Linked DNA regions of Mus musculus: regions 1, 2 and 3 are each reported to be linked to region 4. Evidence: microRNA targets listed by miRTarBase, many of them from high-throughput screens and not tested one by one. Region 4 holds a microRNA gene; each other region holds the end of a gene's coding sequence.
What was found. Region 4 holds the annotated microRNA mmu-miR-181c-5p (AACAUUCAACCUGUCGGUGAGU, at 3,214-3,235, shown strand). A microRNA usually pairs through its seed, bases 2 to 8, with sites in the 3' UTR of a target mRNA and lowers its output. Matches are read on the target gene's strand: a 7mer-m8 pairs with bases 2 to 8, a 7mer-A1 pairs with bases 2 to 7 and ends in A, and an 8mer does both.

Region 1: miRTarBase lists Ikzf2 as a target of mmu-miR-181c-5p. The part of its 3' UTR that is shown has no 7-base or 8-base seed match.
Region 2: the mRNA of Smarca4 is a reported target of mmu-miR-181c-5p. Seed matches in the 3' UTR shown: 7mer-m8 at 3,248-3,254, 7mer-m8 at 3,185-3,191 and 7mer-m8 at 3,172-3,178.
Region 3: miRTarBase lists Arhgef15 as a target of mmu-miR-181c-5p. Seed matches in the 3' UTR shown: 7mer-m8 at 1,163-1,169.

What each region holds. Positions count from the first base shown.
Region 1 is chr1:69,534,084-69,539,231 of GRCm38, forward strand. It overlaps Ikzf2 (IKAROS family zinc finger 2), which reads right to left. Exons shown (of 8, transcript NM_011770.4): 8 at 1-5,148. The coding sequence ends at 4,685. Among named protein-coding and RNA genes, the nearest start is that of Gm28497, 110 kb to the left of the region's middle.
Region 2 is chr9:21,702,007-21,707,154 of GRCm38, reverse strand. It overlaps Smarca4 (SWI/SNF related, matrix associated, actin dependent regulator of chromatin, subfamily a, member 4), which reads right to left. Exons shown (of 34, transcript NM_001174078.1): 34 at 2,925-4,219. The coding sequence ends at 4,187. Among named protein-coding and RNA genes, the nearest start is that of Gm26511, 19 kb to the left of the region's middle.
Region 3 is chr11:68,940,056-68,945,203 of GRCm38, reverse strand. It overlaps Arhgef15 (Rho guanine nucleotide exchange factor (GEF) 15), which reads left to right. Exons shown (of 16, transcript NM_177566.4): 16 at 375-2,050. The coding sequence ends at 526. Among named protein-coding and RNA genes, the nearest start is that of Gm51902, 13 kb to the right of the region's middle.
Region 4 is chr8:84,177,011-84,182,158 of GRCm38, reverse strand. It overlaps Mir181c (microRNA 181c), which reads left to right and starts at 3,198; the gene lies at 3,198-3,286. Mir181d (microRNA 181d) reads left to right here and starts at 3,372; the gene lies at 3,372-3,443.

The sequences.
Region 1 (5,148 bases), not on the chromosome of region 4:
ACCCAGCCAGCAGCTCGTTTTTAAAAAGCTGTCATAGTTGAAGACACCCCTTAGAAGTGACAGACGACCCCAGACTACACATCTGAGATGACATTTTGGAGACCAGTCACGGGACTAGTGTGCTGAGCTTTGTCTTGTTCAAGAGGAGACAATGATCTGCATTCCCACGCCATTTCACAAAACAACCACAGGTTAGAAGACAGAAGAGACAGAAGACCCAAGACTAGAGTAACATCAGTCGGGTATTTAAAACAAAGCAAAGCAATACTGTAATTACTGACTCCAAATTATACAAAGAAACCCCTGTGTGATGCAAAACATATTCTTCCTCAAGAAGAAATCAAAACATATAGCATAATCCAATTCATTGCTGATATGTGAGTCTACCTTCTATTTTGCCTCTACCATAGAATAATGTCCAGAAATATCATCAAGCTAAAAAGATTAAAATCTGGTTTCAAAGTTTGTTTTTTTTTTTTTTTTTTTTGTCACTTTTGCCAGCTCAGCTAAAAGTCTGGAAATTCTTTTAGCAGTTTTTTTCTTCTTCTTCTAAGAACACAAAGGTGAATTAGAGAGTACTTAGATTTTATGTGATTTTTTTTTTTCTTAAAAAATACACAGTAAAAGTGTGGTAGAGCTAAAGAGCTAACCAACACTCTCAATGCATTTTTAAAAGGCACCAATATAAAATTTTATAAGTATTTAATACATTAAGTTCAGGGTTTAAGAGACCAGTTACTGTATATTTTAATTATTTTGCAGAAACTGGAAGACTAAAACATTTATAAAATAACTTTTATATATACAAAGTTTCAATTCATCCCTCACTTTTTTCCCCTTTTGGATTTGGGGGAGCTTTTGCTGTAGAATAATTATACAGACAGTAGTTATTAAAATAACATGAAGTACAACTGACGATCACCACCAATCTACAATTTCAAGGCTAAGACAGTATGTGGCAGGTGACTTGGACAGTGTAAGGCGCAGTCCTGAATCTAGGGGCAGACAGCTCTCCTTGTCCTCTCCAGCCTCTTCCATGAATCTTTCTACCCTAACTTGTCATTTAGGAGAGAAGATGAAGGTTTGGAAAGACCAAACTTGTGAGGTGTGCAACTGGGTCAGAGAAGCACAAACACAAGCCAAGGTTGCTAAATTACTTCCTGCAACTTCTTCCTCTCACAAAAAAAATCTATATTTCTTCAAATATTCTCCAGTCAACTCAATATCTTTTCATTGTTTCATTGTTTTTTGCCTTGCTTTGTTTGTTTTTCTGGATGCAGACAATGGAGATTTGTGATTTAAATTGCCATTAGCCTTAAAGACACACTGACAACATGGGGCTTTCTTAATACAACCTGCTGAATTAGACCCAACTGCTGGCGTAGTAACTGTACTGTACTTCTAACTCTAAGCTTTTGTAATACAACTGGCAATGCTAATTGCTTCTTTTCTGTGAATTTTCATTAAAAGAATGTGCAATATGCATGTGCATGCAAACTGTACTGCATTCAAACACTGACCTGTATGTATGCCAGCCAGGCAGCCAACTTCATTCTAAATCTTAATGGTTGGCCCTCACATCCCCATTTTATCCAGAGAATTATTAACGGAATGTTTGAATGACAGTGTTTCACACTTCCCTCTACCGCTCATTGGGCTGGCGGCTCTCACTGTTCTAAAAAGCCTTTATAACAAGCAATCAATCACTACTATAGAGACGCAGCATGTTTCTCCAGAAGGAACTGGTGATAAAAAAAAAAAAATCTGGGCAAAATTAGGGCAGAGCCATCTGATAAATTCCTGACAAACTGGAAAACACAGAGGATAACCCATTTTCGTGCCCCTCAAATTCTCTCTCAACTGTAAAATGTCACCTAAATAAACTGGTCTTGTAACGGTTATGTAAATTTGATTTATTTGGTATCTGGCCTTCATACCTATTTTTAGGTGCTACCATGTCTCCTATTCTCTTTGGTGAAAAAGAGGCAAATACAGTCATTGAGGGTCCCTCAGACAGCACTATGTCCACAAAGTTTATCGTAACCCACAAATCTTGAATTCAGCTTGTCCCCATTTGTCCCTGTCACAGCAGAGCTATCTACTTTTTTTTCTGTATCTTGTGCCATGCAGCTGAAAAAGAAAGAAAAGGCTAAGTGCATATGTACAGCCAATCTACCCTTATAGTTCACGCCTTTGAGTACATCAGGTTTTCCAATAAAATGGGATCAGAAAGGCAGAGCACATCGGTACCACCTTCGTAGGGGAAGGACACAACTCTTCCAGTACACCTAAATTCAGTGTCATCCCAGGGCAGGTAGGTACATGATTGTTAATAGAGCAGGTGCTAGCAGAGAGAAGGAAGAGATAGCAGATGCCTGCAGGTGTTCACAAAGAGCCGAAAGGGACACACTGACAGACATCCAGATGCTTCCTCAAGTTGCAGTTAAAACAAAGAAGTCAGGAGCCTTAAACTTATTTACCTCATTCAGAAATAAATATCCTTTTCACTGTGATTCCAGAGTGTGTAGGGTAAGTGGGGATAGGGAAGGCATGATGAGATGTTTCATCCCCGAGGAAGCTATGTTTTTAAAATGTACCAAGGGATACAACCCCCCCCCCCCCCCCCGCCAAAAAAAAAAAAACAAAACCAACAATTGGCATTTGATATAGCTCTGGTTTGGTGCATTCTCTTACATGTTAAGGAACCAGTTGGATATTTCTCCAGAAAGAACTAAGATAAGGATTAGTAAAAGAGGCAAGTCAGAACTACCTCGCTCTGGCTATGGAAGAGCTAAGAAGTTCCTTAAATGATCAGACAGAAACCTGCAAAGCGAGTTCGGAGCACACTGCTCATCCGTGGGTACTTCTCCAGTCGTGGTACTTCCCAAGGCAAAGTGCAGTGACATGGTTTGGGCATGTCACTCAAGGGACTGTTGGAGCAGCGATGTGTTACCACACAGCAGACCTCTCAGCATTTACAAATGACTGTCAAATAATCCAGTTATGGTCAGGTTTGTTTTCCTCAAACACAAGCAGCAAGTTATGTCTGCCAAGTTGATTCCCCCGAATGCCTTGATAACAGTGTGCTCCAATCCTACCCACAAATGCAAGTCAAGTTCAGAAAAGAAAAAGAAAAAAAAAAAAAAAAACAATTGAGAACTCACAAAGATCAGATTAAAACCTGAGCATGAGATATGGAAGTATTTCTCACGTGCAAATTAAGAGACGACAGAAAATTCTTGACTAAGGGGTTGAGATTCATTTCTGATAAGGAACTCTAGAGTTGGATTTTTTGTTTTTATTTTTAAAGTGCGGGACCTTCTCCTAAAGATGGTCACATTCTCAACTCCGGGAAGGCTGAAAGAAAACTTTTTGCTTGTTTGTTTGACCTGCACTATGTTATTCAGGTAACAAAGAAGTTCCCTTTTGTCTCCAGCAAAGGTAGTAACTCTTATTACTGAAGAAATAGTGGAATAAATAGCCCTAGTAAATAAAAGACCTTCCAGGGTTCAAGTTACCACTTTCAGGTCCAATTAACAGTTGCTCCAAGATTTTAAAAGAAGCAACTGCTAGCAAGGCTTTTTAAGACCTTCTATTCCAAGAGTCAAAGAGGAATGGACTGTGGACAGAACACTGAGTGGTCACAGCTTGAAGAGAAATACCAGAAAAGGGTTCTTAGAGTGGGAATTCCCCCTACTGTTCGCCTAATTACACTTTTCTGCTGACTTGTTAACACTGATTGAATGCTGATAAAGTGACGATCGTAAACACACCTTTAGAAGCAAACATGTATACTAAGCTGCCATCATATTACAGCTTAAAAAAAAATCTCAAATTGTGAAAAGCAGAATTCTTCCTGGAAATTACTGACTGCCTCTTACCCACTCTTGAGACCATATGTTATTCTGAAAACTACATAAAAAATACTATTTGTTACAGGTGTTAAAAGTAAGGCTGCCAGGGTGTCTATAAAATGCCAGTCATCAAAACTATGGAAAAACAGTGCGCCAAGTTTAGAAAAATAAGATCAAAGGACCTCAGATGTATCGTAGCGGCCCTTGACTACCTGTAGTTTAAAATTTTTGCTATATGATACAGTGTAAAACATACTCAATTATAAATTCCGTAGGGGAGGTAAACACAGAACCCACAACAATTCAACTCATCCTAGTAGTTATGGAAAATAACATTGTTTTTGTGTTCCATGATCTCTAACGAACAGAAAATAAAATCGGTTTACATTTTGAAACTTCTTTGAGAGTAAAATGACTTAGACCATTTTAAATTGCCAAGCATCCTACCCAGAAAACTCTCAACTTTCCTGCCTTCTATCACAATCCTGAATATGAATGGCAGATCAGAATCTCTTGGATGAACCTCTATGAACTGAATGATCTCCTAAATTATGATAGGCCTTAACAAGGATGCATGGCTGCAATGAACTGCTTTAAATGCTCACGAAATAAACAAGCCAAGTTATCATTGAACATCCCATCCCTTTTCTTTTGTTTCTTCCTCATTGTAGTTAGGCAGAGCAAATGACATTTTGTCCACAAAATAAGAATTATAGACAGTGACAGCATCCAGAAGACAGCATGTCGCCATCCGAGGGAAGGTGGGACTGTAAGTGCAGTATTTCTTCATGTGCAGTTCTTCATAGGGGTCCCCTTTGGAATGAAAAGGCCTAGTGGAATGTGTGCTCCCCTCGAACAATGTGTGATGAAAATTCGTAGCGGTCCTGGCTTCTGTAGCCACAGATGTTGCATTCCAGTGGGTCCCGGTAGCCATGGCAACCCATGTGAATGGTGTACATGACATGGTCTAGAAAAAGGACTCGGCAGTGCTCACACTTGAAGGCCCTTATCTGTTCTCCTTCTCCATTGAAAACCTTATAGATGTCCTTCAGAGAGCCCTTGGGGGCCTTGGTAGCATCCAAAGCCTTGACATCCTCCTTCATGTAAGCTGGGCTTTGTTTCCTCTTGGGATTTAAGGCAGGGTTTCCTTGGTAGGACTGGCGGTCATCATGGCTACTTTCTGAGTCAGTAGAATCGAGGCAGCTATTGCTGGGCGAGGCCTCTCTTTCCTGGGGTCGACTCTTTGGTCTGATGAGAGAGATGGGGCCATCCATGTTGTTTTCGTGACTATCAG
Region 2 (5,148 bases), not on the chromosome of region 4:
GGCGGTGCCTGTGGGTATCACAGGACAGGTTTATGGAATGCTGGAGTGCATCCCAGGAAAGCTGAGTGCTCTACACACTGGGTGGCACACAGCCCTGCTCATCCGAATCGAGCAGGTTGTGTCTTCTATGACACAGTGCAGAAATCTGCTGGGATTCAAGGGAAGAAGGACCTGGGGACTTCCCTGTAGTTTGGAATGTGACTTTTGGGTGGAGCTTGTGGGGTGGCCCCCACCTGGACTACCTGTGAAATGGATAGAAACCTTCAGACTCAGCAATCTGGAAGGCTCAGGTACTGAGTGGGGCCAGCAGGGGGGAGGAAAAGGCCATCATAAGCCAGCAGGGGTGGGGCCGGAAGGGGCGTCACCAACTTCAGGCAAAGGGCAGTTTAGGACTACTACTCTGACCTGTCTGTCATCCCCATGGCCCATGGCCCTATGACACCTGGCTGTGCACGTGATGCTCAATCCAAAGTATACCTGGTGCCTGCATTAGGTCACTTCACTTTCTTCTAAACCCAATCCTAGCTTCTTGCCTCTCAGATGAGAAAGGACAGATTCTGGCATCACGAACCAGCCATTCAGTTGTGCAGCACAGCTGGATGTATGGGTGTTTATAGTGAAATTCAAAGACACGGGAGCTTTCTGATCCTGAAGCAGCAGCTATAATCTCTCTCCCTCTCTCTCTCCCTTTCTTTCTTTCTTTCTTTTTTTTTTTTTTTAGACAGGGTTTCTGCGTAGCCCTGGCCATCCTGGTACTTGCTGTGTAAACCAGGCTGGCCTCAGACTCAGAGATCTGCGTGTGCCTGCCTCCTGAGTGCTGGGATTAAAGGGTTGCACCACGGTTTCCATCTGCTCTATACTTCTGACAGAAGAGACGAAAGGTCACATAGAGCCTGTTGGGGTGATTTTGGACTTTGCTGCTCTTTATAATGAATAACCACTCTGGTCTGTTTTGCCTTCCCTGTGAAGGGCTCACTTTTACATGTATGCACATATGTATGGATGTATTTAATGTGTGTAGGGGGCTCATATGTGAAGGGGAGAAACTTATGGGAGTGGATTGTTGCCTTCACCAACTGGGCAGGCTGTGCGTTCTATGCCTTTACACAGCTTGCTGCCCGGACTACAATTCAAAGCCCATTTAGTCATTTTTATTTTACGTATATGAGTTAGCCTGCATGTACCATGTGCGCGTGCCTGGTGCTGTGAGCTGCCATGTGAGCTCTGCAAACCAAATCTGGGTCCTCTGCAGGAACAGCAAATGTACTTAGCTACTGAGCCATCTCTCCAACCAACCCAAGACCCACATTTTACTACATTCCATTAAAAAAACTGTGTTTAGAGTTCAAGAACTCCTAGGCTAACTCATATACATAAAATAATAATGAATAAACGTGTTTTGAATTGTGGTGGTCTAGGAAACTGGCATAAAGGCATAGCACACCTGACACCAGAGAGATTCAACCTGAGGGAGTGGAATCTCTCCTTCCTCCACCTGGACTCTGCAAAGCAAACTCAGCCTGTCAGGCTTGGCAGCAAGTACCTGTAACTGCTAGGCTAGCTCTCTGGTCCCCAGGACACTTTTTTGAATTTGGAGACAAGTTCTCATCATGCAGTACTTGCTATGTACACTAAGCTACTATTGAATGCAGAGATCTTCCCACCCCTGCAGGGACTGGAAGCATGCATCACTCCGCCTGACTGTAGAACTCATGTTTAGTTTATGTGCTTTGCTATGTATATCTTGTGGGCTATATGCATGCAGTACCCCGAGGCAAGAAGTGGGCACTGAACCTCCTAGGACTGGAGGAACAAATGGTTGTGAGCCTGTGTGTGGGTGCTGGGAATTGAACTTAGATCCTCTGGAAGAGTACCCAGTGCTCTTAACTGCTCTCCAGTCCCTAGAACTCTTTTTTTTTTTTTTTTTTTTTTTTCTTGTTTTTTTGAGACAGGGTTTCTCTGAGTAGCCCTGGCTGTCCTCGAACTCAGAAATCTGCCTGCCTCTGCCACCCAAGTGCTGGGATTAAAGGTGTGCGCCACCACCGCCTGACTCCTAGAACTCTTTAATTTTTCCCCCAAGACAGCTTCTCTGTATTCCCTTCTTGTATAGCCCAGGCTGTCTTGAAACTTACTCTGTAGACCAGGTTGGCCTTGGAAGATAAATTCAAGAGCACTAGCTAGGTGGTACAGGCCTGCAATCTCAGCATTTGGGATCATCATGAGTTAACAGCAAGCTGCACCTCCATACCAAGTTTAAGGTCACCCTGGCCTACGTGAAACTGTCTCATAACAATATAAAGCAGCCTTGGTAGAACTTTAATCCCAGCACTTGAGAGGCAGAGGCAGGTGATCTCTGTGAGTTCAAGGCCTACTGGTCTCCACAGAGTTCCAGGACAGCCATGGCTACACAAGAGAAACTCTACCTTGAAAAACCGAAAATAAAGAAATGAATAAATCCACCAGCTTTTGCCTCCTGGGATTAAAGGTGTATACTATATGCCTGGCCCCAGAACAAATTTTTTGTTATTTTGAGACAGGGCCTATGAACCCTATGAATCTTGGAATTCACTATACAGGCCTTGAAATCGGAGATCTTTGCCTCTGCTGCCACACTCTCGGATCTTTCCCTCCTGGGAAGTCTCCTGTGGGGTTTGTTGTACAGTGTGTCTCTGTGGTATTCCTTGGCTCTAGACTTCCAGGAGACCTTTCTCTTCAGAGCTGTAAGACCTTGGGACAAACTTCCACCACTGGAGTGGAGTACAACACTTCTCTTGGAGTACAACACTTCCCCTTTCGCCTTAGAGCTGTCACACAACTGTGGCTCCCAAGGCAGCTGGTAGCTACGGATGGCCAAAGACTGAGCGGTAATGGAGAACTGGAGGGCAAAAGGGCTGCAGGCAGAACTGGGGCTTATAGGCACAGAACCAAGGCAAGTCCTACTTATTTATTTCAGTCTTCATTTAAAAGAATGCTTCTTTTTGAGATTGGAGAAATGGCTCAGTGGTGAAGAGTACTAACTGCTGTTGCAAAGGCCCAGGAACCCACACAGTTGCTCACAGCCTCATGTGACTCCAGTTCCAGATCCAATGCCCTCCCTTGACCTCTGTAGGCTCTAGGAATGTACTTGATACACACACACACACACACACACACACACACACACACACACACACATTCAGGCAAAACATTCACACAAAAATGTCTATAATTTAAAAAAGAATTATTTTACGTATGTATGTATATATACACATTCATATGTGAGGGCATGGGCATCGCATCGGGTAAGAGGGCAATACTGAATGTGGGCTCTGATTCATTTGAAGCAGGGTCTTGTCACTGCCTGGCATGCTAGTTGGAGCGCCTGGGGTTCCTCTTTGTGCCTTCATCTTAAGAGCACAGGACTGCAGGACTAAATTAGCCTGGCCCTGTGCCTGTGGCACTTTCGCCTATGGTACCATCTCCCCAGTGCAAGTCATGGACTGCCTCCGTGTGGATGTGTGTGTCCCGTGTATGTAATTCAGTGTGTGTACATCTGCACATGAGGGCCAGAGGTGGATGCTAGGCATCATCTTTGATTGCTTTCCACGTACACATTGAGGTGGAGGCTCTAACTTGAAGCTCACTGACTTGGCTTGTTTAGGGTGTGTGGGTGATGGGAATGCAAAACCCATACACCTGGCAAGGCAAGTACTTTGCCCATAAGTTAGACCCAGTTCCTAAAAGTCTTTCTTTCTTCTCTGTGGCCCCGGAGCCACTGCTGACAGCAAGGAGTCCAGGGAGCCAGTGGTGGCTTGTCATTGCTTTAATTTATTACTGTCTGACTCCAGTGACACTGACATACCCGCTGGGCCTGTGAGCCTCCTGGAGAGCTGGCCCTGTCCAGTAAGATACAGTACAAGGAGCGGCCGGCACGCGCATGCATCCACTGAGCTACAGTGACTGGGGCCTGGGGAGGTGGATGGTGCTCCCAGGAGGTCCCCTCTCTAGACAGTTAATGCTGGTAGAGACTCGAGGCCAGGCCAGGGCCGACAGACAGGCCTATACTTCTCTGCCTAAAAATGTGGAAGATTGCATGTGTACAGTTCTCCAAGTTCGAAACTACATCTGGTGCTACCCATCACTGCTAAGGGCTACTCCATCTTGGCTGGGACGAGCGCCTCGGGGTCAGGACTCAGGAATGTCTGGTTCAGTCTTCCTCACTGCCACTTCCTGAGCGGTCCTGAAAGAACAGGGGGAATAGTTTGTGAGTAGGCTGCGGCCTAGGCACTCTCCCTTGTCCATGGTGTTCTCAATGCTGTGGAAGGGCCTAGATCCTTAAGGGATAAATTATCTTACTGTGGCAAAAAAAAAAAAACTGCATCAAGGAGGCTGGCAAGACGACTCAGCAGTTAAGAGCACTGATTACTCTTCCAAAGGTCCTGGGTTCAAATCCCAGCAACCACATAGTGGCTCACAACCATCCTTAACGAGATCTGACTCCCTCTTCTGGAGTGTCTGAAGACAGCTACAGTATACTTACATATAATAAATAAATAAATGAATCTTTGAAAAAAAAAAAAAGAAAACTGCATCAAAACTTGGACCTTGCCCTGCACCATGGTAGGGACAGGCCAACATGGAACCCCATAAGAGGCAGCCACTCATTATAGCCATTCTTGAGTATGAACATGTCTTCTGACTGCCATTTTGGTCTAATAGAGCTCAGGCTGGCCTCAAACTTGCTAGGCAACCAAGGATGGTCATGAACGCCTCCTGATCTTCCGGCTTCTACCTCCCAAGGCCTGGGATCACGGGAGTTTACTACTATGCCTGCAGCCATTATCTTATTAAGAGTCATTTTTAGGGTTGGAGAGACGACTCAATAGCTAAGAAAACTGGCTGCTCTTACAAAGGACACGAATTCACTCCTGAGAACCCACATAGTGGGTGTTCACATAACACCCTGGAACTCCAGTTCCAGGGGATCCAATGCGTTCTTCTAGCCGCCACGATCACCAGGCACACAGTGGCACACATCCATACATGCAGGCAAAATAAACAAGAAAGCCCTCTAAAAAATTAGGGTCTCTATATAGCCCTGGCTGGCCTGGAACTTGCTATGTGTACCAGGCCAGCCTAAAACTTAAGAGAGCCTGCCTTTGCCTCCTG
Region 3 (5,148 bases), not on the chromosome of region 4:
CTGAGGTCAGAAGAGGGCACTGGATCCCTTTGGCACTGGAGTTCCAGATGGTTGTTGGTTACCACGTGGAGGATGGGAATCAAACCTGGGTCCTCTGGAAGAGCTCCAATTTCTCTTAACCACTGAGCCAGCTCTCAAGCTTAGAAGCTCTTCCAGTTGAGTGACGTGAGCAGTCACTGCAGGACCCAGCAGAGAAGTGACACAGACCCTCACGGATGTTGATAGCCTTTCCAGGAGCACTAGTGACTGAAGTTGAATGCTCTGGTCTTTTCCACTAATCCCCAGCCTGGGACCTGAGACCTGAGGATCCCCCTCCCTCATCCCCATCACCTGACCTCGGTCCTGCTCCACACAAACCTTTCTCCCCTCTTCAGGTTGGCTTAAGGGGCTTCCTGGAGCCTTCCCTGCCCAACTGGTGTGTGAAGTCACAGGAGAACACGAGAGGAGGAAGCATCTTCGCCAGCACCAGAAGCTCCTTGAGGCTGTAGGACCCTCTTCAGGCACTCCTGACACCCCTCAACCTTAAGGCAGGCTAGGGAGGAGCACAGATTGGGATACTGGCAGCAGCATGGGGAAGAAAAAGTCTATCCATCCATCTGTCCAACCGTCCAACCGTCCATCCATCCATCCATCCATCTACTTGCTGTCAGTGGAAACACTACCTCTAGAGGCAACCAATAGGGATAGAGCAGCTAATGAAACAAGACCATCTGAGCCCACGACAAGGAAGAATGGGGATGGCTCGAATGTGTTGCCAATGGAGACAGGGGATGAGTACAGAGTGGCCAAGGCTGAGGCCACGGCCAGAGGGTATCAAAGTATGTCCACAACCAAGGAAGATTAAGCAGGGGCATTGCATTGAGAAATGACGTCATTGAAGTAGTCCTGTAGACAACAGGGATGGGATGGGACCTATCCAGCCAGAGAAGACGGTGATTTGGGCTCAAGAGAGCAGTAGTCACCCTTGTTGGTTTTACAGAAGCCACTGGTCCTGCTTTTTGAGTATAGGAAGTATTAAATTAATCTAATACTTCTGTTTGAGGGCTACTTTCTTTGCCCATTTTAAACCACTTCCTTTCTTCTAGAAGAATCCAGAGTGCATCTCAGAGAATATGAGTGCATGTGTGTTCATGTATATATGTATCTAGGAAGGCAACTGTGCTGAATGTGGTGTGTGTGTGTGTGTGTGTGTGTGAGAGAGAGAGAGAGAGAGAGAGAGAGAGAGAGAGAACGCACCTCTCCCCTCTCCTGTTGGTGACTGAATACTTCCTTTCCTCTATCATCTCACATTTATCCTCTTATTTTCTCCAAAAAAAGCCATATGCCCTGAGATCTAAAAAAAGAGTACTGAGCATAGCTTGCCCAAGGACTGGGACCGTGAATGCAAGCCATGGATTCAGGGTCTCCCGGGTGTCTCTGGGTTCTATGACAGTTGAAAGCTGGTATTATGAAGCAGCTGGTGGCCCGCAAGGAAGGCACTGAGGACTAAGCCACTGGGATTTGAGATCCTCAGCAGTCTGTGGACCTCTTCCTGTCCCAGGCATTGACCTCTGTGATCCATGTCTGCTCTGTGTCATCTCCCGACTTGAATTGTCATCATGATGTCAGCCAGCCTCGGGCTGCAGAACAAGTTGGGTCCTGGGTCAGCTGGCAACCATCCTGATCTTCTTCTATCCTGATCCTCTCAGAAGCAGAAGGCTGAACCCAGGAGGGAGTAGAGAGCTGATGGTGTTACTCAGACTCAACCACGGTTTCTGCTAGAGAACCTGCCCTGTGTGATGCTGGAGCGGTGAAGGCAAAGGCAGTAGAATAGACAATTGCTGGGCTTGGGGCCCAGACCTGGGCAAAGGCTTTCTAAATCTTCAGGACTGTGCAATACTGTTCCTTCATGTATGACAACCTGCCCAGATGGAGACTGCTTAGGTGACTATGGGAGGGGTAATGAGTCTGGGGACTTGAAGGCAATAGGGCACTTTGTGTGTCCACAGCTTTCATCCAGCAAAGTGCCAGCCACATGGGAAACCCTCAATAAATGTTGCTGGAAAGAGCAGTGGTCTAAAAACACAGTTTTATGTGGGGGCCGGGTGCTGGATGCGCCAGTGCTAAGAACAGGTGTCGCCTCCACTGGAACTAGAGCTTAGAGAGTAGATACTAGGCCTGCCTGGAGTGTGTCAGCTCCTGCACAGCTTCTCAGGGGAGCCATGTTTGAAGTGGACCACAGGCGCTGCAGCTGGGGTTGTTGGAGGCTGGGGAAGAGGGCAGGGCAGGGTCACCGTGGTTGTAGCTGGTTAGAGGGTACAGTACAAAGTCAAAGGAACAGACCAGTCAAGTGTCTGATTCCAATCTGTGCCTGCTCATTGACCGCCTCTTATGTGCCAGGCACAGTTCTGGGAGATGAAAAAGATAGTGTAAAAAGCGCCCTTCACCTTAGAGGTCCTATACCAGTTTGAGTGCATTCTGAAATCAACACGTTAGTAGGTAGGATGAAGTTAGGACAAAGCGTTAGTTACAAAGAAAGTACACTCTCCAAAGGCGTGACAGATTGGTGTGGGGTGAGGGGAGACAGGGAGACCCTGGAGGAGATGACATCTGACCCAGGTGACAAGAAAGAAGCAGCTGTGGAATGAGACAAGGGGACTGTGGGCCAGGAGTTGTAGGTAGAAGCAGTGGAGACAGACCTGGTGTGTCTACACTGCTGCTTGGTGGGCGTTTCTCTCCACCACGCTCCCCCTTTGTCTCTAAAAACATTGTTTTTTGAGACATGGTCTTACTGCATAGCCCAGGATGGCCTCAGACTCTTTCAATCGTCCTGTCTCCAACTCCCAACTGCTGACGTTATAGGCATGAGCTGCCATATCAGCAGAGAGAACCCTTCCCCTCTTTAACATGAGATACAAACTTGAGGCTGGCAAGATGCCTCAGCAGGTAAAGATGCTTACCACCAAGCCTGACACCTGAGTTCAACCCCCGGAATCCATATGGTTTCCTATAGCTTAAGCTTCAGGTCTCCTGACTTGCACTGGAGGACCCTAGAAGTGGAGTCACATGGGCATATGTTTCTGCAAGATTTATAAATCAGGCCAGGTTTGGTAGCTCAAGCCTGTAATCGTAGGATGTGGGAGCCCGAGGTAGGAGGAGTACCATGAGTTTGAGATCAAGCTCATATACAGAGGGACACCCTGTCTCAAAAACAAACAAATAACAACCACAAAAAAATACAAAAAAAAAAAAAAAAAAAAAGCTGGAGATGGTTGTGTGTGCCTGCCTTTAATCCCAGTACTAGGGAGGCAGAGACAGGAGGATCTCTGTGAGTTTGAGGCCACTTTGATATGTATAGAGAATATCAGGCCAGCCCACAGACACACTGAGACCCTACCCCCAAAAACAAACAAAACAAAACAAAAAACAATTAGTTATTGAGGTCCAACTAAAGGAAGTCAAGTTGAGGAAACTTTTAGTTTTTTAGTGAGTATGGTAAGTAGACTTCAATGATTGCCAGCTCTGGCTACCCATGCCTTTATATAGCCATATTGCCTTTTGAATAGGCATTTAGTGTCAAGTGTGTGTGTGGGTTTGGGTGTGTGCATGCAGCCCAGCTGGCCTCAAACTTTCTGTGAGGTTGGCCTTGAACTCTCCATCTTTTTGCTCCCATCTCCCAAGTGTTGGGTTCTGGACCAACCACACCCAGCTTAGTAATTAGGTTCTCAGGAATGGCTAATGCGATAAGCTGAATGGCTGTTAACGGGTTAGCTGGTGAATGATGGATTTGGGAGTAGACTCTTTTCCTGTTGAGTCTTCACAGGAGAACCCGGATCCCGAGCCGTCTGCTAGACTCTGCTGGACATAACTGTGGCCATTTTGAGCTGCGTAATGGCTCAGATCTTATTTGTTTTGTGCATCTGAATCTTAGTAGGAGCTCAGGATGGCTCTGACCCTATGCTTTGGCCTTCTGAATACGAGGATTCCATACCTGTGCCACCATATCCCACAGGTTTGGATCTTAAATGTCCCCTGAAGGGCATGGATTGAAGGCTTAGTCAAGGTTAGCTGGTGGGAGAAACCTTTAAAAAGTGGAACCTAATAGAAGTTAGGGCACTGGGCTGAAGAGATGGCTCAGCTGTTAAGAGCACTGACTGCTCTTCCAAAGGTCCTGAGTTCAAATCCCAGCAATCACATGGTGGCTCACAACCATCCGTAATGAGATCAGATACCCTCTTCTGGTGTGTCTGAAGATAGCTACAGTATACTTAGATATAATAATAAATAATTTTTTTTTTTTTAAAGAAAGAAGAAGTAACCTGGGCACTGACAACCTTTGAAGGGAAGAGTGGAACCTTGGTGATTTTTTCTTTTGGTTCCTATCCAACATGAGGTTTTGCTCTGCAACCTCTGCTCTGCCACAGCCCTAGAGCACCAGGGCAAGCAAGCGTAGCTAGTGAGTTAAAATATAGCTTGCCTTGCCAGGCACGGGGGTGCACACCTTTAATCCCAGCACTCGAGAGGCAGAAGCGGAGGCAGCTGGATCTCTGTGAATATGAGGTCAGCCTGGTCCACAGAGTGAGTTCTAGGACAGCCCAGGCTACACAGAGAAACCCTGTCTCAAACAGACTAACTAATCAAGTAAATAAATGAAGCTTTCCTTAATAGTTAGTTTATTTGGATGCTGGGGTTGCACCATGGGAAGCCAAGCAAGGCAGGTCAATCACAGAATTGCTCCAAAGTAACCGAGTCTGCTTTCTTGGTAAATTATACACAGATACAAACAGCTAAGGCAATCTACGGAGTTGTATGACCTGCACCAGGAATGTGCTTCACTCTTCCTTTGGTTAAGGTGAACCAAATACATTTGATCTTGAATAAAAACACTTTGTCCTAACCAAAATACACACCCTCCCTCACAGTGATCTGCTTATTTTAGCTACTACTCAGAATCTGATTCTGTCAGCAAATCTTCCCTACCTCCCAATAAATTCCACTTTGTACAGAGTTAAATCTGTTGAATAAAATATTATATAGATCCTGGCAGCGGGTTTGCTACACACCTCAACGCTTTACATTCGAGAATGGAAGACCCACACGCACAGCCTTTATATTTTGACATGCTTTAATCAGCTCTATCCTAGGCCACTGCCCAACCTCCACGAAATG
Region 4 (5,148 bases):
TGGCCTGCATCTGCCAGGTACAGAGGTGATAGGCTCTACAGCCACTGTGTCCAGCAACACTTATTGAGCAGTTATTATGGGACACACCTATGACTCACAGTGAATTCCCTGCCTTAACAGAGTTGGTATTTGAGTGGGAGACTGGCCCTGAAAGACACCATCCTTATCAGCTGACAGATTATAGTCACCCAGTTACTCTTGACAAACCCCGCATCCATACATACATCTGTGCACACATAGACCACAATTGGACACAATGAGCTTGACACACCCATCCACCTACAGTGTTGACATCACACATAAACAAGCCCATAGGATTGGCATATATACACTAATACACTAGTGGTGCCACCAACTATGGTACACCCCCCCCAGAGTCCCCTCCCCTCCCCCTGAGCTCCCTTTAGCAGCAGAGTAGTCTAGAGCAGACCTCTACTCCAATCCATTAACAGGTGTATATAGCAGACAAATGAGTTTGTGCAGACAGCCCACCGTGATGCATACCCAGGACCGCTCTGCTCCTTGTTAAAGAAGTTCAGAGGAGTAGCTGGAGTTCCCATCACTTCCTTGATCATAGCCCCTGACCCAGGAGAAGCCAGACCCCTCTCACTCATCTGCAGGCCTGGCCTCACATCCAGACAGCCTGGAAATTTGGGGCTTTTGGCCTACTTATAGTACATAGGAGCTCCTGTCTGAGCTCCCCCCCCCCCACTCCCCAGCCCCCTGAAAGACCCGAGTATCTGAGAAGCTCCTGAGATTAGGAGGGAAGGGTGGGTATCTCAGAAGTCGTGTAAGTATGGCAATAATAATAATTAATAATAATAATAAGGTCTAGACAACCTGGGCCACCAATGTGACCCTATGGAGATTCCCACCTGTCCTGTCACTATCCCCCCAATAATGGACTGTTTTCCAGGCCCTACCTACTCTTCCCTTCTGCCCAGCTGATTTACACACAGGTATTGCACACTGAACACTGCAGACCACAGGGCACAATATAGCAGACAGCTAACCCATCTTTTACTTGATGGTAGAGCTACCCCCATCTGGCTGGGATTGGCATTTCACCTCAACCTGACCTCTAGGACTTGCCAGCTGCTCAGAGAGACTGGGGCAGGCTCCACCTAGGTCATTCCCAAGCTGACTTCTGCGCTGCAGTGCCCCTGCTTCTGGACCTGGGGTTGGGGGATGGAAGGAGACAGTTTCCCACCCTTACACTAAGGGACTTCAAAGTCAGACCTCCCGCCCAAGCACTCTAGGCCGACCAACACATGGCGGGAAGTAAATGATCAGCCCCTAGCTGCAGGAATTCAGGTCAAGACTCTGATCCTCACACACCAGGGGGCTTGGCTGCCAAAAACCTCAAGGAGCAGCCCCGGGAAGAAGAAGGACAGACACATAGGGAGGGTGCAGGCAGACCCAGACAGTCGACCCCCGCTGACAAAGGGCAGGCAAGCGCAGACAGACACTGAGGGCGGGAAGCCCGCACCACGCCTGCAGACAAAGAGACAGGAGGGGGTGGGGCCTGGCGCCTCCGCCATGCCACGCCCCCCGCCAAACTCCCACAGGCAGGCTGTCCTGCCGTGAATACCCCTAACATACACCTCCCATTATGTAAAGGACAAAAATCAGAGTTCTGCAGGGGAAGTAAGCAAAGTGGACTTACAGAATAAAAGAGGGGTGTCTGCAAGATGGCCCGCATTGCCCAGAGTGTCCCGTGTGCCTCATAATCCTCCATTTTAGCTTTCAGGAACCCCCTAAAACTGTTCTGAACTGGCAGCAGGCCCTTCCCCAGGGGCACAGTGGTGGTCTGTGCAAAGCGCCTGTGACCAGCTCATCTTCATCTGACCAGTCTAGACCTTTATTTCCTCAGGGCTGAGAGCTACCAAAGCAGGAGACCTGCCTTTCCCATGCAGGACCTCTTAATCCATGGCCAGAAAGAGAGGGCCCCTGGGGCTGGGAATGTGACCAGTTACCGGGCCCTGGGCTGAGGAAGCAGGGTTAGGGCTCTACCGGGAGATAGTGCTTCCTAAGTCTTGCTGGAGCCAGGGGCCAGGTTTGGGTCTGTAGGTAGGGGTGGCCCTTAAAAGGAGCTGAACTTCTAGGGAACTTCTAGGGGTGCCCTGGAACCACACTGAGGTGCTAGGCAGGGGGTAGGACCTAAGCTCTCAGGTGATTGAGTTTGGCGTTAGATCTAAAAGGGATGGTTTGTAGGAGGGCCATAGGGAACCCTGTCAAAGGCCTGAATTGGAGGGCAAGTCTGCAGTGGTGGCCTGGTACTGCACAGGCCGGTGCTAACCCTGCAGGAGTTTCACACAAGCATACTACTACATTTAGTGTTCTTGATCTGTCTTGTGTGACTTCAGGAGATCCTTGAGGGTCACCTCTCCCTCTCTGAGGTGTTCTGAGCTCAGTTAAAGCAAAAGGGAAGCCTCCCCCCCCCCCCCCGCACTCCCCCTCCCGACCATTTAGAAGCCTTTGGGTGGGGGTGGGGTGTGTCTGTGTATAGCCTTCTTTCACAGCTCACTGCTCTACTGGGTAGGGCAGTGGTGGTCTCAGAAACCGTCAAACTAAGTTTAGTGACCATGGGAAGGTGGAAAAGTTTACAATATATTGAAAGCCTTATTTATCTCAAGTTTGCTGGAGAAGCCCTGTTACATTGTATAAAAGTAACTTGTTTACGGCTCAGTTGCCCTATGCCTAGCCCAGGCCCAGACCAGAACCTGATGACCTACCCGAGTTCCCAGAATGGTGGCTAGAAAATCCCCACTTTGTATTTTGGCCTCAGTCTTTCCAACTGACCAGTGAGGGGAATTTGTATCTCTCAGAAATGCTTTGGAGGATTTTATTTATCACAGTACTTAGCCCTCATCAGGAATTCACTCTTTAGGTCAGGTTAGCCTGTAACCTTACTAAGGCCATCCCAACCCTCAGACTCCAGAGTGCTGAGATATCAGTTGTGAATGCATCCCTTGAATATATATAGCACATGAATTGAGACAGGCACATTATCATCTCTGTTGCAGGGGCTGCGTTTTTTACATTATGGTTTGTATTTGTGCTGCTTCTTCTGAGTCTCCAAAAAAGAATAACTGATGGCTGATTTTGTGAGTCAAAGGGGACCCTGGTTTCTCTCTCGTCCCACATGCTCTCTGCCTTGCTGGCCTACTCTCCCAACTCCAGTTATCCAAGAACTTGCCAAGGGTTTGGGGGAACATTCAACCTGTCGGTGAGTTTGGGCAGCTCAGACAAACCATCGACCGTTGAGTGGACCCCGAGGCCTGGAACTGCCACCCGTCTACCCCATCCCCACCCTGTAGACCCGGGAGAGCCCCAGGCAGCATCCCCTGCCTCAGGCCACAGCAAAGGTCACAATTAACATTCATTGTTGTCGGTGGGTTGTGAGGAGGCAGCCAGACCCACCGGGGGATGAATGTCACTGTGGCTGGGCCAAACAACACCATCAGGGATGGGAAAGAGGATAGAACCCTTCAGATTTTGCTTGTCACTTACTCCCCTTGGGGAAATGGGACTGGTGTCTGGGATCTTGATGGGCTGATTGGAATTGGGAAATAAACCCTGGAGGGTTAGGTGTTGGGGAGATCCTAAATTGGGAGACTCTGGGGGGATGATGTTTGCTCAGTGATGCTCTGCAGTGGGCAAACTGGTAGATGAACATGTGACAGATACATGGGCAGGTGGATGGATGAGCGGGAATGAAGTCTGTCCTAGCAGTGGTGACTCCTGTTTCTTTTTGAGCTCAGGCTGCAGGCTCCTTTGACAGGTGTCAGATAAGGGGGCTGGCACCTGCTGGGGTATGCCAGTGCAGTTTGTCTTCCTGTGCTTGAAGGCTCTTTCCCCTCCTGCTGCATTCCTAGGTTGGGGTAACCTTGAGGCTGCTTAGCTAACTGGAGGGGGAAGAGTTGGGAACTCAACTTGGTAAGGTCTTAAACCCAGGACAAATGGCTGAGGTGCCTATTCCTTTATCAAAGTTGAAGCCGCAGGCTGCCATGTTCTCGCAGCATCCCTCAGTTCCTTTAACAGGGTCCTCCTTGTTGACATATCTTGTCCTTTACCCTGAACTTCTCTAGCCAAGGAACTAGGCTGGGCTTTCCCTTCCTGCAGCTTCTCTGGTTCATATATAGGCCAACCTTTTTGGTTAGATGCTCCTTTTTTCTTTTGTCTTCTTTTTCTTTTCTTTTTTTGGTTTTTTAAGGCAGGGTTTTTCTGTGTAGCCCTGGCTGTCCTGGAACTCACTTTGTAGACCAGGCTGGCCTCGAACTCAGAAATCCGCCTGCCTCAGCCTCCCGAGTGCTGGGATTAAAGGGGTACGCCACCACGCCCGGCTTGTCTTCTTTTTCTTGTTCCCCTTTCCTTCATGCCTGGCTTAGTCTGCTGGTCATGTCCACTCTGGAGACTCCTAGGTGTCCTTGCCCCTGCCCCTGCCTGTAATTGTCCCTTTTATCTACAAAAACAAACCACTTCTCTACCCACTAGGAGCATTCTTTGTTTGGTTTAGACTGCAGGACTGAGGTGCGTATTTTACACATCAAAGCAGACCTGGCCTCCAGGTTCTCCCAGCATTCCTCAGTCCCTACCTGGCATACTCTGCCCCCAACCTTGAACTTTCTAGCCCAGGAGCTGGACTGCCCTCCCCCGCCCCCCCAGAGGCTCTTCCCTATATAATTCAGACATTTTGTTTTCTTCTTCTCTTCTGTTTTCTTCTCTCTTCTTCTCTATCGTACTTACACTCTTTTTCTCTTTTCTTCTTTCTTTACTTTAATTCACACCTCAAGACTAAGTTCTCCAGGACATGAAAGTCTGTTAGTGAAACCAGAGCTTTGAGACCCAGTTGTCATTTTCCTACCCCCAGCCCCACTTCCACACTCAGGCCTCCTTCCTAGGAATTGGGATTTCTGCATTACCCCACCTAACAAGAAACTCTTGTTTCTTGTTTCTTGCACGCCTTTAATCCCAGTACTTGGGAGGCAGAGGCAGGCGAATTTCTGAGTTCAAGGCCAGCCTGGTCTACAGAGTGAGTTCCAGGACAGCCAGGGCTACACAGAGAAACCCTGTCTCAAAAAAACAAAACAAAAAAACCCCAAAAATACAGGAAGAAAGAGAGAAAGAAAGAAAGAAAGAAAGAAA